Caenorhabditis elegans: one gene and its partners. The protein of the gene in region 3 purifies or fractionates together with the protein of the main gene of each other region. This does not show direct contact. Each region holds a gene or a part of one and is shown on either strand. Other genes may lie near its edges. The genes, in order: cya-1, Y71G12B.13 and chts-1.

The links.
Region 1: the proteins of chts-1 (region 3) and cya-1 fractionate together in Caenorhabditis elegans (co-fractionation; one large-scale study listed by BioGRID). This does not show direct contact.
Region 2: the proteins of chts-1 (region 3) and Y71G12B.13 fractionate together in Caenorhabditis elegans (co-fractionation; one large-scale study listed by BioGRID). This does not show direct contact.

The regions. Positions count from the first base shown.
Region 1 is NC_003281.10:9,106,127-9,111,019, reverse strand, and holds cya-1 (G2/mitotic-specific cyclin-A1), read left to right. Parts: upstream 1-1,747; 5' UTR 1,748-1,817; coding exon 1,818-1,841; intron 1,842-2,107; coding exon 2,108-2,422; intron 2,423-2,471; coding exon 2,472-2,591; intron 2,592-2,636; coding exon 2,637-3,073; intron 3,074-3,123; coding exon 3,124-3,306; intron 3,307-3,387; coding exon 3,388-3,766; 3' UTR 3,767-4,321; downstream 4,322-4,893. Other genes in the region: dos-1 (Delta and osm-11 homolog protein 1), read right to left, coding at 4,336-4,367, 4,413-4,483. UniProt on the Caenorhabditis elegans protein: Involved in the control of the cell cycle after S phase. May bind to and activate cdk-1 and/or cdk-2 to promote cell cycle progression. Necessary for embryogenesis.
Region 2 is NC_003279.8:1,700,317-1,708,230, reverse strand, and holds the start of Y71G12B.13 (RING-type domain-containing protein), read right to left. Parts: upstream 6,127-7,914; 5' UTR 6,109-6,126; coding exon 6,082-6,108; intron 5,660-6,081; coding exon 5,543-5,659; intron 4,270-5,542; coding exon 3,745-4,269; intron 2,571-3,744; coding exon 2,476-2,570; intron 2,434-2,475; coding exon 2,226-2,433; intron 896-2,225; coding exon 341-895; 3' UTR 1-340. Other genes in the region: lsm-6 (U6 snRNA-associated Sm-like protein LSm6), read right to left, coding at 6,533-6,653, 6,747-6,859; ubc-3 (UBC core domain-containing protein), read right to left, coding at 7,444-7,553.
Region 3 is NC_003284.9:7,514,717-7,519,811, forward strand, and holds the start of chts-1 (EGF-like domain-containing protein), read right to left. Parts: upstream 3,067-5,095; coding exon 3,033-3,066; intron 2,984-3,032; coding exon 2,747-2,983; intron 2,701-2,746; coding exon 2,632-2,700; intron 2,583-2,631; coding exon 2,504-2,582; intron 2,461-2,503; coding exon 2,348-2,460; intron 2,298-2,347; coding exon 2,112-2,297; intron 2,067-2,111; coding exon 1,890-2,066; intron 1,836-1,889; coding exon 1,671-1,835; intron 1,619-1,670; coding exon 1,487-1,618; intron 1,438-1,486; coding exon 1,315-1,437; intron 1,268-1,314; coding exon 1,139-1,267; intron 1,093-1,138; coding exon 722-1,092; intron 675-721; coding exon 524-674; intron 469-523; coding exon 217-468; intron 19-216; coding exon 1-18.

The DNA of each region.
Region 1 (4,893 bases), on a different chromosome or scaffold from region 3:
GCGCTCCGTTTGGTAGAAACACTATTTGGTTCGATTCTATGTAGGGTGTTTCTTTTTTTTTTTTGTTAAAGTTTCACTTTTCTTTTTTTTTTTCCGGATAAAACTTATTTTTTGACAACTTTTAGCCCCTCAAAAAGCTCTGATAAAAGGCTTAGACGTCAGGTCCCAAAATTGAAAAAAAAAGTTCCAAAATTTTTATTAATTTTTTTGTTTCTTTCTTTGTGAAGTTTTTTTTTGTAAATTCGATGAAAATCGAACGTTCCTTATGAAGGCACCCTTAAAGAATACAAGCTGGAGTAAAACCAGTGAGAAAAGCGGGGGTGTGCAAGTGCGCTCCGCTGGCCGGAGTGATTCCAGGTGTGCGATTCCGTTAGCGTCCAGAGGCTTAGAATCTAAAGCAATTGTGCCACATTCTCCAAATTTATAGTAATTTTTATCATCGTCTTGCTCGACCCGCTCCACACTGATAACAATCTCTTCATTTTATTTTTTCCTTCTTCTTCCCGCCGGCGCGTAAATGTTTACAAATGGTGCAAACTCTCTGGGAAACTATCGATGGCGCCTAGAATACCACTAATTAGTCAAGTGGCGCGCAACCTTGGCAAAATCGTCAATGCCAATTTCTACAGGGTAAGCGTGACGAAGCAAGGCGATTTCGATGTCTAATCTCAGGTTAATATCTCAACCGTTATTTTCTCCAACTTTCCACCCTTTTTGATGTTGTGAACGTCGAGATTCCTGACTCTATGACATTCTTTTGAAGTTCCGTATTTTTGGAATATTTTTAAAAAATTAAGCTCGCGAATTCACAAAACTTTCTCAAGGTTATAGAACATTAAAACCCTAGTGAGAGACATATTACTGCTAGATGAGTTTCAATGTTTACCTTGTTTGCAGGTCCCACGCGGATTCTAAAGTCTAATGTGTGCCGATGTGTCATAAAAAACAATAAGAGCAGAGCACCAACAAGCCATGTTTGGCTCCATACGTTTCTTCCATTTTTCTATCGATCAGTTCAGTAGGACCGCTTAAGAGCCTATATACATCTCGTCATATTACCAAAGGCCGGGTTGCGTAATGGATTGCGTTGAACGTTTCCCCCCCCATCGAGGGAGGTCACCATTGCTTTCCACACACCAACACCACACTTTACCTACTAGTTCATATAACTTTTGATATTGATCCAACAAACATTGAAGCAAATTTTGCATTATTTCTCTCTGTCATTCACATTGCTCGGAGCCAGTAATAAGAGAGAGCAACAGGTGGTCTTTCTCCAAAATGAAGATCGCCGAACAGATATTACATATTGCCTGCTCGATCTAATCCTTATATGTATGCCGTTACACGTTATTCAAGACAATTTACCAATCTAAATGTTGTCCCATCTGGAACAAAGAGCATGCCATCTGAAGCATTAGATGGGAAACTGCTAGCAACAGTGACCCCTCCTCTCTCTATCTCTCTTCACCGTCTGTCCTGCCTTGAATGGTCCCTTGCATAACCGTACGCATTGAGCACCTTTCCGCAACATATCGATTAGTCTCTCTTTCTCTAATTGGTTTTCTTTCTCCAGTCATACCATTTTTCATTATTTGAAACTTAATTTCAGTTAAGGAATTAAAAAAAAAATCATTAGATTTATTCTATTTTGTTATTTACCTTTTCCCTTGCCTCATTCTTCGCTGTCACGTGTTTATTCCTTCGCCTGTTTCCTTGATTTTGAAATTAAATCTCTTTTTTACAGATTCCGACACAGCGCACGCGCCTAGGGACCAATTATCAAGCGCTTTTGAGAGCAGCAGATCGCGACGAGTATGCGGTCGGCACTTAGTTTGAAGGTAAGTATTTTCTGAAATTGTAAAAAATATATTTACAATGCGACTGTCAAATTAGTTACATTTATTTATTCGCGATCTTTTTTCAAATTTTCCGCATTTTTCGAGCTCAACTTTACCGAGCTGGTGGAAACAATTTTTTCCGATTTCTGATAAAAATTGGTAAGTGGTGAGTGCGTGAGACGCTGGTTTTTTAACAGTCAAAATGAATTCGATTCCTTTAAAATTATGTTTTTTATATATAATTAATAATTAAACCTATATTTCAGCCGAGCAACGGAAACGCGGCGAAAAGTCAAGCAGTGAACAACAAGAACGTGATCAAAAATGCACCATTGGGAGGAAAATTGACACGTCAAATTGGAACCAGTAATTTGCTTCAACAAGCTCTACCAAGCAAGAAAATAGATGAATCACCAATTATCAAAATAGATGCAAAAGACAGTTTTAAAGTATTTGAGGATCAGGAGCCAGAGAAAGAGAATTCTTCTGAAAATGTTGATGCAACGGAGAAAGATTCTAACGTAATACCTGCTGAGGATAACAATATGATACACGAATTGGAACGAAAGATGGAAGAAAAGGTTAGATTTGAACTCAAAATTGTAATTGTTTATATACAATTTTTTGCAGAGTCGTGCAGAAAAACTGAAGTTCAAGTTCATGCAGACTCGAGACAATAGTGATATCACCTCAAGATTCTCAGAACCACCTTCAGAATTCTCTGTTTTATGTGATGACGACGATTGTGATGTGAGACCAAGAAAATAATATCAGAAAATTGAACTTTTCTTTCAGAAAGTCTCCGTCGCCTCTTCAACCTTCACCACAAGCGTCCGTGCAACCTTCTCATCATTCCATTTTGATGAAAATCAGCGCAAAAAGGAATTTGGAAAAGAAGAAGCTGTGAAGAAGATTCAAAAGAAAGCAGCGAAGGAAGCTCGTGATGATTCAATGTTCAGTTCTGAAGAATTTTTCCCTGACATTATCAAGTACATGTTACACCGTCAAACGAAGAATCGAGCTTCACACGAATGCTTTGACATACAATCACAAGTTAATGAAGAGATGCGAACAATTCTCATCGATTGGTTCAGCGATGTCGTGAAAGAGTACAATTTCCAAAAGGAAACATTTCATCTCGCTGTGAGCCTCGTTGATCGGGCTCTTTCAATGTTCAACATTGATAAAATGCGATTTCAATTGGTTGGAACGACGTCGATGATGATCGCAGTGTATGTTTTTAAATAAAATATTTCAATTGAATGTGAATCTCAAATTTCAGGAAATACGAGGAAATCTTTCCGCCAGAGATTGAAGACTTTGCTCTCATCACTGACAACACCTACCGAGTTCCCGACATTCTTTTAATGGAGCGATTCTTGCTCGGAAAGTTTGACTTCGTTGTTGCAATGCCCACATCATCTTGGTTCGGAACATGTTTTGCCAAGAGAATGAACTTTACAAAGTGAGTTTTAATATCATCATTTTTAGCTCCTGTGAAAAAAATTAGCGATCTTTCTCAATTTTAAACGTTATTTTATTACAGAAAGATGCGGAATACTGTTCATTATCTCCTCGAGTTGTCGCTGATAGATGTCCATTTTCTACGTTACCGCCCATCCGATATTGCAGCTGCGGCTTGCTGCTTTGCAAATCTCCAGGCTGACGTTGAATCCTGGCCACAAAAAATGGTTGACGACACGGGAATCAGTACGGAAGATTTTGTGGACGTGCTGAGGGATCTTCACAGGATGTACCTGAATGCATCAACGGCAGATTTCAAGTCAATATTCTACAATTACTCGGAGACTGCACAAATGGAAGTGGCCCTGTTACCGGCACCTACTGACAAGCTTCGATCGATGTTCCCATCGATCTTTGTCACCGCTCCAAAATCTTCCAACGATAGTAGTAGTCCCCAGTAAATAATCCATGTTATATTCTTGAATTCTCCAAATTTCCCGACTTTCAATTTCATTCCCTGTCTTTGTTTGCCTTTATCGATTACATCTTCTAAAATTCTCCTTTTAAAACTACGATTTTATGTAACAATTCTTTGTATTTGTATAACTCATCCCGACAGGAATCGGAACATACACGGATATGATCCGATATTAAAAATTCCTTTTTTGTGTTATATGTAATAGTATTATCAGTGCTCTCCATCCACCCCCTTATCTGGCTGTTTTACAGCTTTTTCTCCAGTTTTCTTATTTATTTATGATACTCCTGGCTTGGCAACTATGATCTATGATTCCTTTTTGTTCCGAGCCGTAATTTACGCACTGCGCTCATTGTTTTATATTTGTTCCACGATCTCATCTCGTAGTTGCTCTCCCCATCGTTCTTTCGTTTCTCTTTTTCAAAATGTAAATCTAAAAATTTTTATAATCATGATATCAACTGAAATTTTATATTATTTATTGTGCTTTCCAAATGTTAGAAGATACCTTCTTTGTCAAATAAATCTTTTAAATAAAAAAAAACAAATAGTTTAACCGTGATAGTTCCCGTAGTTGGCGTATTCTGGAATTGGAAAATCATTCAATGAATCTGAAAATTGAAACTTACGAGAAACAAAAGCGTCTGCCATTTCTGGATCAAGCTCCTCGATATATGTAGAACAAGACATGTACCAGATTCTGAAAAAAACACTTAATCGAATTAATTAAATTTTTGATAAGTATACGGTAGCTTGTCTCGACTCGACAATTTAAAAAGTAAATTGCAAAAAATAGCGTGCGCCTTTAATAAATACAGTAATTCCCAAGTTATTGCTGCATCCCAATTTTTAGGATTTCATTTACACTAAAATTTTAAATGCAAAGTGTTAAATGAAAAATAGAGACTACTGTATTTTTTAAAGGCACAGCACATTACCCAAACGCGAAATTTTGTGATACACGACAACTTTTGTTAAATGCAAAAAGGAGCGCGTCTTTAAAGGGTACTGTAATCGCAAAACTGTGTATTTGCGAATTTTCCATCGAATTTTCAGAGTATTCTCATAAATTGTTTAAAATTATGAGCTTTTATTGTTATATTTAAGTTT
Region 2 (7,914 bases), on a different chromosome or scaffold from region 3:
TTTTTTCCGGCAAATTGGCACTTTGCCGGAATGGAAAATTTCCGGCAATTTGGCAAACCGGCACATTGCCGGAATTGAAAAATTCCGGCAAACCGGAACATTGCCGGAATTGAAAAATTCCCGCAAACAGAAAAATTGCCGATTTGCCGGAATGGAAAATTTCCGGCAAATCGGTAATTTGCCGGAATTGAAAATTTCCGGCAAATCGGTTTTTTTTTTAAATTTTTCAGGGAATTTATTTTTTTCAGGGGAAAATTTTGCTAAAAATCCGCTATTTTGCCAATTTCCATCTAAAAATTCCAATTTTCAAGTAAAAAAGCGGGGGAAAAAACGAGAAGAATTAAAAATCAAAATTATCATTAACAAATTCCGAGTTCTCCTGAACATTAAAACCCGTAAAAACATCATCATCATCATTCTCAGGCTCCGCTTCATCACCCGAATGCTCTTGGGGCTCAAAATCGAGGTGTTGCTCCATAATCGGAGCTTCTTCCAATCCGAGAAGCATCGCCTCCAGTGGATCAGCCGGATCCAGTGGTGCCGCCTGATGATTCTGAGCATCAATTCTCTCGTAGAGATCGTCAAATTCAAAGCCCCAATGAGCATCTGGCTCCTGGTGCTCCTGGTACTCCGGCTCTTCGTCATAATTTCCCACATGGAATTGCACAGGCTCCGGCTCCTGCTGGAATTGAGAAGCTGGAGCTGGAGCCGGAGATGGTGTACTCGTCAAGGATCTTGCCGTTTCCTCGTCACGTCGAAGCTTCTTGTTCAGAATTCTCGCAGAAACCGATTGATGAATCGTCTGCTTACGGGTTTCCGCTTTCAGTTTCTCCGAGATTTTACGATCCTCTTCGATTTTTCGACGCTTCGCCAGGCTTGCCAGGCTGAAGTTGCGCTGAAAAATGAGGAAATTAGCGTCTTTTTTTTATTTATTTTATTAATCAAAAAAATATTATTTACGCGCAGCAAAATTTGGACCGAAATGAAAATAAAAAAGAAAAATTCAAGTTGTTCTGTGTAAAAAATCGGAAAAAATCAAATTTTTGTGGAAAAAAAAATTGGAAAATTCGACTTTTTTTGACTAAAAGATCGGAAAAATTCAAATATTTTGTAGGAAAATTGGCAATTTTGTAAAAAAAATCGAAAACTGCGTAATTTTAGGAAAAATCGGCATTTTTTGTATTTTTCAGCGAATTTCGAGAAAAATGTCTGAAAACAGAAACCCATAAATTTCGGAAATTAAATTTAAAATTTGATTTTTTTGAAATTGCTTTAAAGCATGCTTATGATACCACAATAACCGAATATATCATAATAAAAAAATTCAAAAAAAATTTTTTTTTCTAAATTTTATATGATTTTTGAAAATTGAAAAAATCTCAGTTTTCCCCCTAATTCCTATTTGAATTTCCGCCAATTGAACTCGTTCGTTGGAGCGCGCTTGCATTGTTTTCATTAATTTTTTAAAATTTATTTTCATTATTTCACTGATTTTCTTCATTTTTTGGGTGTTTTTAATCGGAAAATGAAAGAAACATACAGGAAAAATGCAAAATGTTTATTAAAAAGTAACTGAAAATGCCTAAAACTGTGAATAATACTTATTTCAGGCTCGTCATCGTCGGATCGTATAATTTCAGAGTTTTAGGCATTTTCAGTTACTTTTTAATAAACATTTTGCATTTTTCCCGTATGTTTCTTTCATTTTCCGATTAAAAACGCCCAAAAAATGAAGAAAATCAGTGAAATAATGAAAATAAATTTTTAAAAAATTAATGAAAATAATGCAAGCACACTCCATCGAACAAATTCAATTAGCGGAAATTCGAATCGGAATTAGGGGGAAAACTGTGATTTTTTCAATTTTCAAATATCATAAAAAATTTAGAAAATTTTTTTGCATTTGTTTTACCATGCTATTCGGTCATTATGACCCCATAGGCGCGTTTTAAAGCAATTTTTTCGAGAAAAAAAATTATTTTTTCATGTAGATTCTGCGAATTTTTGAATTTTGGCTAATTTGTGTAAAGTTTTGCAAAATCGTCGCAGGAAAATCAAATTTTTGGGTTTTTATCGAATTTTTTTGTTTTTTTATGCCAAATTTTTTAAAATTTTGCAAAATCTTCGCAGGATAATCAAATTTCTAGGTTTTTCTTCGTTTTTTCGGCCAAATTTTTCAAAAATTTCCATGATTTTCGTCATTTTTCCTCTTCTTCAATCCGTACCATAACATTGCCAACTTTCTCTCCGACAGCTTTCTTAATTTGTTGCAAATCAATTCCAACACTTTTCAGCAACTCATCCGCATTTCCACTTCTCGCCACCATTTTCTCTTCTACAGTGAAATTAATCATTCGACGTCGGGCAGTTTTCCAATCTTCACGAGTTATTGATTGTAGACAATTTTCAATGTCTTCTATCCGATAGGGAAGTCTAAAATTATCGATTTTTTGCCATTTGTTGAGCATTTCCAACCGTAAAGCCGCTCTTGAACGCTTATAGGTCATCGGAGTACGCTGGAAGTAGTGAGCATCGAAAAACTCCTGCATACGACGGAATAATTCGGATTCCTGAAAAAAAAAATCGATTTTTGGGAGATGTTAATGAAAATTTTTGCGTTTTTTTCGCAGTATTGAGCAAAAATTCGAAGGATTTCACCCAGAAAACCCAGAAAATCGCGATTTTTTTTTCTTCCAATTTTTTGATTATCGAAATTTCCGTTTAAAAATTCGAGAAAATTCGAATTATCGATTAAAAATCCAGGAAAAGTGTAATTTTCACTAAAAATTCGGGAAAATTCAAATTTCCAGTAAAAAAATCGGGAAAATTCAAATTTTCGCTCAAAAATACGGGAAACTTTGAAGAAATTCAAATTTTCATTCCAAAATTCGGCAAAACTGAAATTTTCACTAAAAAATTCGGGAAATTTCAAATTTTTGCTAAAAAAACTCGGAAAAACTCAAATTTTCACTAAAAAATTCGGGAAAATTCAAATTTTCTTTAAAAAGTTCGGGAAAAGTCAAATTTTTGCTAAAAAATCGGGAAAACGCAGATTTCCGTTGAAAACTTCGAGAAAATTCGAATTTTCAACTAAAAATCCAGGAAAATTCAAATTTTCACTAAAAAATTCGGGAAAATTCAGTCTTTTGGTAAACATTTCGAGAAAATTCAAATTTCCGTTGAAAACTTCGAGAAAATTCAAATTTCCGCTTAAAAATTCGAAAAAAACTCAACTTTTCGCTTAAAAACTCGGGTAAATTCAAATTTTCGTTAAAAAGTTCGGGAAAATTCAGATTTCCGTTGAAAACTTCGAGAAAATTCAAATTATCGATGAAAAATCCAGGAAAATTCAAGTTTTCACTAAAAAATTCGGGAAAATTCAAATTATCGATTAAAAATTTCGGAAAATTTAAATTTTCGCTTAAAAATCGGAAAAATTCAATTTTTCGCTTAAAAATTCGGGAAAATTCAGATTTCCTTTTAAAAATTCGAGAAAAATCAAATTTAGATTTAAAAATTCGGGAAAATTCAAATTTTCGTTAAAAAGTTCGGGAAAATTCAAATTTCCGTTTAAAACTTTGGGAAAGTTTAAATTTCAACTAAAAAGTCGGGAAAATTCAAATTTTCGCTAAAAAATTCGGAAATAATCAAATTTCCGTTTAAAAATCCAGGAAAATTCAAATTTCCGCTTAAAAATTCGGGAAAACTCAAATTTTTTTCAGCTCAAAAGTTCCAAATTTTCACCTCCATATTTATAATAGTATTCGACGCTTTCGAGTCGGCCGCAACTTTTTCTATCAACGAAGCCCACGATTTTCCAGAATCATTAAGCCGTCGCTTAATAGTCCTACACGGCCTGACGGCCTCTTCTTCTTCAATTTCCACATCATCAATACTCTGATTTTCAAGCTCAGCTTCTGCCGAGCAAGACGTTGAAGGGGTATTTGTATTATTAACAGTTTCGGAATGAAGACTTTCAGCTTTTAGCCTATTCTGACCACTGGATTTCTCAGAAATCGTAGTCGTCGTCGTCGTCGTCCCGTCCAACGAGTTTCTGGCGGCTCGATTTTCAGAATTTTCAGAATTTCCAGCCACTGATGAGCAACGGGAGACCGGTCGAGAGTTGGCGAACGTCAGGGGATACAGATATTGATATTTCTCGGGAAGCTTCTCAATGCGTGGCAGGGGAATGCATTTTTGACGCTTTTGGAAGGCAGTTTGGACGACATGATAGACGTGTGGAGGCATATCCATTGGGAATTGACATTTCTGCAAATAAAAAATAAATAAAAAATGATTAAAATCGGCAGTTTTAGTTTTTAAAAAAGTCGTAATTATGCACGCTCTCCTCAAAGCCGAATAATTATTAGAGCGCGCTTGCTGCGCTTCGCATTTCTGAATCCGCGGTATTTTGACTTTCCACTGAAAAAGCAGATATTTCAGATTTATCGAATTTTCTAGCTTTAAAAAAAATTTTTCTCCAGTTTTCGAACAAACCTTTTGTTAAACAGTGAAAATCGAATTTAAAATGACTAAAATGAACTTTTTTCGTCCACTGGCTGTGAAATGGTTTGAATTTGAAAAAATTAACGGGATTTTTCTTATTTTCTAAATATTTTTCTATTAAAATCGGTTTTAAAACATTTGTGACTTTTAGGGTCAAAAAAATGGGTTAAAACCGATTTTTAATAGAAAAATATTTAGAAAATAAGAAAAATCCCATTGATTTCTTCAAATTCAAACCATTTCACAACCAGTGGACGAAAAATTTCATTTTAGTCATTTTTCGATTTTCACTGTTTAACAAAAGGTTTGTTCGAAAGATGCATTTAAAAAATTTTAAAAGCTAAAAATTCGATAAATCTGAAATATCTGCTTTTTTCAGTGGAAAGTCAAATTACCGCGGATGCAGAAATGCGAAGCGCAGCAAGCGCGCTCTAATAATTCTCCGGCTTTGAGGAGAGCGTGATTATGAAATATTACTGAAAATTAATGTTTTTTAAAATCAATTTCCGGTGAACTTCCGATGATTTCGACGATTTTTCCGCCTCAAAATTACTCGATTTTCACAAAATTAACTAAAAATTGTCCGTTTTGTTGAATTTCAAGTTCAAAATTTGAAAATTCTGAGGAGACATTGCTTTAAAACATACCTATGGTACCACAATGACCAAATATCATAGTAAAATTTTTTTTAATGTTCTAAATTAAAAAAAAAATTTACTATGATATTTGGTCATTGTGGTACCATAGGCATGTTTTAAAGCAATTTCCCCACAGAATTTTCAAGTTTTGAACTTGAAATTCAATAAAACCGGAATTTTTTAGTTAATTTTGTGAAAATCCAGTGATTGAGGGGAGAAATCGTCGAAAACATCGGAAATTCACCGAAAATTGATATAAAAAACAATAATTTTCAGTTAAATTGCTATGAAAAGCTGATTTTCTCCGTTCATACGAGCCAAAACAACCTGAAATTCGATTTTTAGCTCGATTTTTGCCTGGTTTCCCAATATAAATTCAGTTTTTCATGAATTTCTACCTGAACAGCCTCACATATCCACCAAATATTATCGGATCCATTGGGTTCGGTGCTGATGAGCTCTGGCTTGAGCTGTTTCGTCTTACATCGCGGACACTTGAGCCATTCGCTTTTCATCTGAAATTAAATGAGTTTTTTGATGGAAAATTCGAAATTTTAAGGCTAGAAACGAGCACAAAATGAGCACACAAACGCTCAAACTTTGAAACTAACTGTTTTTTTTTCAATTTTCGGAAAATCGATGGGGGGACAGAAGACTGATGGATTTCGTGCGACGTCTCTCTCTCTCTTGCTCTTCTTTATCTTCTTTTGGTCTTTTCACTATGAAATTAGGTATAGTTTTTGAATGGTATCATTTGAAATGTGCGATCACATATCGGGCGGCAGAAAACCGCCTAATTCTCCTTTTCCAGTGCGGGTGGAAAGATCATCGCAAGGCGGTTTAGCCTTAGTGTGATCGCATATCATTACAAATTATCACTTACCACTCGGAGAGCAAAAGTTAATCAGTTTTTAAATCAAAAAAAAAATCAACTTACTAAGGCGGGAAGTGGTCCGGGTGGCATTATCCTTTTGAAAATTGTCTGAAAATTGCGATTGTTGCAGTGAAAGTGGCACAAAAATACGTAGAATTCGAAATTTGAGTTGAAAAATCGAAAAAATCACCGGAAAAGCTCGAAAAATCGATGAAAACGCGATAAATTGACTTAAAAATGTCTTCTTTTTTTCGAAAATGCTTCCCCGTAAATCGAATCGTGGTGAGACCCACCGCACGTGACGCATGACCGCGACGCGTCTAACGGTGAGGAAACCCAAGAAATTTCTCGATTTTTGCTGAAAAAGCCTGTTTTCGAGCGAAATAACTCAGATTTTCGGCGAAAAAAAAAACACAAATTTATTCGAGATCCAAACGTATCAAACAAGAAATTTGCTCAAAATAGCTCAAAAAAGGGAAAAATATTTGGAAAATAAATCGAAATCAAAAAAAAGTTATTTCGTCGATGTGGAGATGTAGAGCACATTGTTCCCGCGGATGAACGCATCGCCGTACTTGTTCTGAAGTTGTCCGTTGCTGTATTCTTCGGTTTGTTCGAGCGCGATGTTCATATATCTGAAAAATTAGATTTTTTCGTAATTTTTCTGGAAGAAAAATTAATTTTCAGGTGTTTTTAATCAGATTTTTTGATTTTTCCCAATCACTAACCCGTCGAGACATGCGAGAATGCCACGGTAGTCGACGCCAGAGTTGAGCTTCACCACAACCGGCTTTCCGATGACTTTCTTCAGGAATTCGGCGGGATTCTGTCGTTTGCTCATTTTCTAGAGTGCTGAAATTGAGAAAAAATATTACTTTCACGGGTTTTTAGAGTAAAAATATGTTAAAATCAAGAGAAAAATGCGTTAAAATTGCGATTTTGCTTCAAAAAAAATTATTTTCTACAGTGTCCGCAAACACCGTGACGCAAAAATGCAGACTTGCGAAAAAAATGTTTTTTTCGGATTAAATCGACTTATTTTTTGAGAATTCAACTCTAAATCTGCAATTTTCCGAGACAATTTAGAAAAAAGAAGGCTTCATTTATAGAAAACAAAAATAGTTGAAAGTGCACTGTGATCAGCCTGTGTGTGTGTGTAATTGGACAAAAAAAACTGTTTCCAGACGAAAAAATATTGAGTATAACACAAATATGAATTGATAGCTGCTTGGGAAGGGCAAAAGTGTACATATAAATGCATTGAGAAAAGGACTAGTTGAGTCGGATTTTGAAGATTTTTTGTTTGAAAGAAGCGCCAAGATTTCGTGGTATATTTGATATGAATTTGAATTTTTCTAGGTTGGAAAATTGAGAAAATTGAGAAAAAAAATGGGGAAAAAATTATAGAAAATTAAAAAAAATTGACTAATTTTCTCCTTGTCCCGAATCCTCGTCATCATCATTATAGTCCGAGCCGCATTCGTCCTCGTCCTCCTCCTCTTCATCGTCGTCATAGTCACACCCGAAATCGTCGTCTGAAAAAAATCGATATTTAATTGAAAATTTGGCAAAAATCCGGGTTTTTAACTGAAAAATCCAATTTTCTCGGGAATTTTACAACTAAATTTGCGAAAAATAGACTTTTTTTTGAGGTTTTTGAGGTCACGGGGTTCTGACCTTCCTCATTGAATTTTTCGCGCTCCATTGACAATCGCCCGCCGGAAAACGTGTGGGAAAGTCGTGTACTCCACACGGACAAATACATTTAGTTTTACAACTAAAATCGAGCCGCGGCGCGACACGCAACGCGCCGTAAATCTACCCCAGATATGGTGGCCTGGACTAGTTCGGCAAAAACTCTTCCATTTCAATTTATAAGGGAAGCCAGAAATCCGT
Region 3 (5,095 bases):
ATAGATATCCCGGAGTTACTAGAACAACAACTATTTTTGTTTTTTCTCTTGTCTCTTATTGATAAACTTAGCATCTAGATGGTCTTTGGTTTTATTCAAAAATTTTCAACTGACAAAATATCGAGTTTTTATTTTTTGCTATATGTTCACACCCTATCAAGTATTTTCAATGAGATCTTAAAGTATGACTGAAAAACCAACAAAAGTTCGGCTTACCAGTTTTCCTCAGAACACAAACATCCATGCTGGCAACAAAGCCAATTCCACATTGGCAATTGTTATCCATGCATGTAGAGTTTCCAAGGCATTGGTCTTCGTTGTTGCACGAGTTTCCAATATTAACTTTTCTTCTTTGCACGCACATTTTGTCCCGGATCATCATGTTATTTACACATTTGCACACGTTATTTTCACATACTGAGAATGGTGAACAGGCAACCTTTTCTGAGCATGGTTCACCTGGGGCAGCTGAATACAAATGATTTTAAAGATTTTATGAAGCAACAGGATTTTATAAAATTACCTGTTTGCTGATGCACGCATTTCTTGTCAATTGCGCTCATTCTGGGTGGGCATTCACATCGCCCTCTTGCACAATAAGAACCTCCCGTGCATCTAGATGTGATATCCGTACAGAGATCTCCTGGATAGACAAAAGTAAAACCCTTGCAGATCTAAACATGACATTAACTTTTTCAACTCCAGAAAACGCATAACTTACACCATTGATAGAATTCTCTCCTCTGCGACAAGCACATTTACCAGAATCAGTGTTGCAATAACTACCTCCTTCACAAATAATTCCCTTGCCGCATGTATCTCCTGGCTTCGCTGACACTTGATCGATGCAGATCTTATTAATTTCAACTTTTCCATCAACACAAGCACACTTTCCATTAACACAGACTGAGTTTCCGACACACATTTCTCCCATCGTACATCCATATCCTGGATGAGCCTTCAAACGTTCGCGGCACTCCCCTCCAATGACCATTTGAGATGCTTTCATACATTCGCATTTGTTGGTTTCTGGGGAGCAGTAACTGTGATCGACACATTCTTCTTCGTTTTGACAGGAAGTTCCAGGACGAGCTGAATATGCGTTGATTGAAGTAAAAGTAGAAAAGTAGAATGTTACCTGCTACATGTTCAATGCATACTCCATTTCTCGGAGTTTTACCTAATGGACATACACATATTCCAGCAACACAGACTGATCCACCATCACATGTTACTCCGATTCTGACGCAAGCACTACCGATTGGAACTGAAAAGTATATTTTAAATTGATAAAAGATAATATTAGCAACAAACCAGTATCATTATCATTCTCTACATCGGTTAGTTGAGGTGAAGAGTTACGTGATTTTGATTGACTTGCGAATCGAAGTCGGATTTTACGAATGTTTTCAAGGGCAGTGTTATAAGCATGCGCAGCTGGATTAGTGAAGGTAAAAAGAGTGATGAGGCATTAGACATTACTTACCTGCTCGATTCTGCTGGCAATGACCATTGATCAACTCGTGATTTCTTGGACACGAACACTTTCCATTATAGCAAACAGACCCCTTTGTACATTTCTCGTTATTTTGGCAACTTTCATTAGGTTCACTTTCAACTTGAAAACAAATATATTTCACTAATTATAAGAAATCATGTATAAAACTTACTTGCTTGGCACTGTTCATCTTGAACATAAAATCCAGGAGGACATTGGCAGGTTCCACTTTGACAGAAGCTTCCAAAATTACATTGAGCATTAGCAACACAAGGTTGTCCAATTGAAACTTGTTTCACGCAACGCCCAGCAACTTCAACAATGCCAGATGGACATCCTTAAAATCAATTTTGATTTGAAATTCTTAATGTTTGACAAATTTCATGCATACCTTCAACGCAAATTTCTTTGTCAATGACTCTTTTGTGGGGAGGACAACCATGTGAGCATTTCAGTCCATCAAAGACAAGTCCATTCGGACACCGACATGTATTTTTGTCACACACAAGACCACCGAACGACGCTTGACACTGTGAAGAGTAAATACAGTCCTGCCCGGGTTGCTTCTCTGAAAAAGTAAACAGCTTTATTTTCATCACTATTGGCTTCAAACCTGGGAGACATTCTCCTGTGACACCGGAGTAAACTTGATTGTTTGGACAGGATCTTCCACATGTTCCATCAGCGGCGACTGGTAAGTTAGGTGGACAAGTGCAGGTTTGCATAAAGCAGGTAGCGTCAGGATATGCGCCAGAGCATTGAAGGTTATGGGAACATCCCTTGCCCCCAGGAGGGAAAACTGGAAAAGGAGTGTAACTTGATTCTTATCCAATTATTTCTGAATATTACCTTCTCTACATTCCCCAATTTCGCTAATAAAAATATGACCTCTTTCCTTACAGTCATTATTGACAAATGTGCATCCGTTACTGCTTTTCTTCATTCCATACACACATTCACATCTGAAAATTAATATGTAAAAAAACATTAGTAAACTCATCAAACCTCATTTTCAAGCAATACGCTCCTGGTTCCAGTGCGGAGCATTGTTGTGAGTATTGACAAGGCTCGCCCGGTTGTTGAACTATAATATTCAAAACTAGAAAAAGAAACAAATCTTCAACTAATTATACCTGTCATGCAGACTCCAGCCTCGCGGATGTAAGTTTGACCAGCAGGACACGCAACAGACGTTTGAATGGCTAAATTTTTTTATATGTAGTAGAACAAAAAAAATAAATATTTTACCTGTTGAAGATGCGATACAAGTGGTTCCTGTATTCAATGCTCCCTTTACGCACTGACAAACTGAGTGGCAAATTGCCAAGGGATACCCTGCGCATTGATTATCATAGGAGCAAGTGAGATCTGGAGCAATTTGGTATGCTCTTGGCCCATCATAATTTCTCCTTCTGAAAAAGTTGCCTCGGAACGATTGGTTGATTGTTCGATGATCTGCCATTATCTCATTTTGTAACATTATTTCTGAAAATTTAAAATGAAACTTTGAGACTGTTTTCAACAGTTTTTTTACCTGCTAATATAAACACTAAGAACAATAACCGCATGGTTAAGCCGGTTCAAATTTTTAAGTGAATTGAAAAGCTCAAAATGAAAACGAAAAGTGTTGGTTGCAAAAGACAGAACTTGAGAATCATATGACAAGAGAGCAGTTATCTTTCATTTTTATAATGATTGATAGACATGGTCCCTGCCGGCATGCATGACTCATCAGCGGCTGTTTCTACGTTATGATTTTTTTATCGCTTCTTACCATTTCGAATTGGCGGGTGATGTGCTGCTTGCTGATTTGAAACACAGGTCTGCTGAATTGCCAAAAAACCAACAGGGCACACACAGTTTCTATTAACATCGCAGTTAGCACCAGGAAATCCCTTATTGCATTGTATGGAGTCTTCACATCCATGCTGACCAGGGTAGATTACTAAAAAACAAGCTATGTCGTATTACAAGTGTTTTTTTTTAAATTTAGTTTTTTTTTTCAATTCGAGTCAAAAGACGATGTTAGTTAGCGTGTACGGTTTGTCCAAACAGATCCATTAGAAATTTAGAAAATATAAGCATTTAATAAATTTAAATATTCAGAGCTTAGAACCATAATACGGAAGTCTACATCAAATATTTTAATTAAAAAAACAGGATCAAAAAATATTTTACTTTTGCTCTTTACTTTTTTAATGTAGAAGTTGAGAATTATTCCCGATAAATTGAGAATTATTCCCGATATGATATCCACTGCAAATTAAAAAATTATGAATGATATTTTTTGTAAATAAACTGATAGTGGAAACTGTAAAATAGTGTATTTACTGAAATATAAACTATTTAAATATCAAAAATCCATAAATTGTTGAGTATTTTGCCACGTGTATTCAATTTTGAATTTTGTCAAATAAAACTTTCAGTGAAACATTCTTATAAATTTAGAATACTTTTCTCAGTCGTAGATTGATTTCAATAAATTGTATAACTTGTAATTTTTATTTTGCTTTTTATATGCTCATAAAAAATTATCACCGTTGTTGATTTTGACGAACTACACTTGTTTCATATGTTTTGTGACTAGAAGTTAACCCGAACATTGATAAAGTCAACAATTTACATTTCTTCATCCTGTGCCACTTGCATTAGAACGTATTTGTCAACAGATTATTATTCCCAAACAGTTAACTTATTTGGCTACTTGAATCAGACCGTGAAAGGAAAAGGAAAAGAAGAAAGATGAGCTGTCCACTTGCTCTCACTAACTCACCCGGTTTGCATTGGGTGCCGACATCAACATGAGAGCTGCGGCACATACAAATTGAGAACGAAGAGCAAAACTCTCCGGGTCCGCGGCAATCGCTGTCGATACGACACTGCTGGGTGAGTGTCTTACCTGAAAAAAAGGGAAATAAAGGAAAAAAGAAGAAGACGAATGTAAAAAAGGAGAATATGAATGAGATTGGATAGCTCTCATTTTCAACTCGAGTATTTTCGAATACGCAATGACCTGGCTTTTTCCATATTTTTTTGGTCGATTCCGGTTTGAACTAAACCACTTACTTTTCTCAGTTACACAGACTCCATCAACGGCTTTGTAAAAACTTGCACACATGCAAATTTCATCAATACATTCGGTATTTTCCGAAATACATCTTCGTTTTTCATTCATCAAACAAGGTTGACCAATCAGGCCATTAGTCTTTTTTATTGAATGCACGTCATTTGTCAAAATGGCTGAAAATATTGACTTGATTAAACATTGAAATTTTGATTAAACACTGAAAATAACGCAAGCTTCAACTTTCTATTGTTGTCAGTCTTAACTGAAATCAATTTTCAAAAATAAAATTAAACTGACCTATTATGAAATAAAATAACAAAAGTCGCATCACCATGATGTTTTTGGTACAACTGTCGGACTGTCGACCATCCGAATAGTGCTCTCCCATTTTGCCGCACGGCCCCTTCAAATCTCCTGTTTTCTTTCCGCTCTCCAGGTTTGGCGTTGTGTCGGCTAAGCGTTGTCAGTAGGCGAGACGGTACTGTTTGATCACCTGAAATAATAACAACGTTAGCTCTTTCTCCATCTCT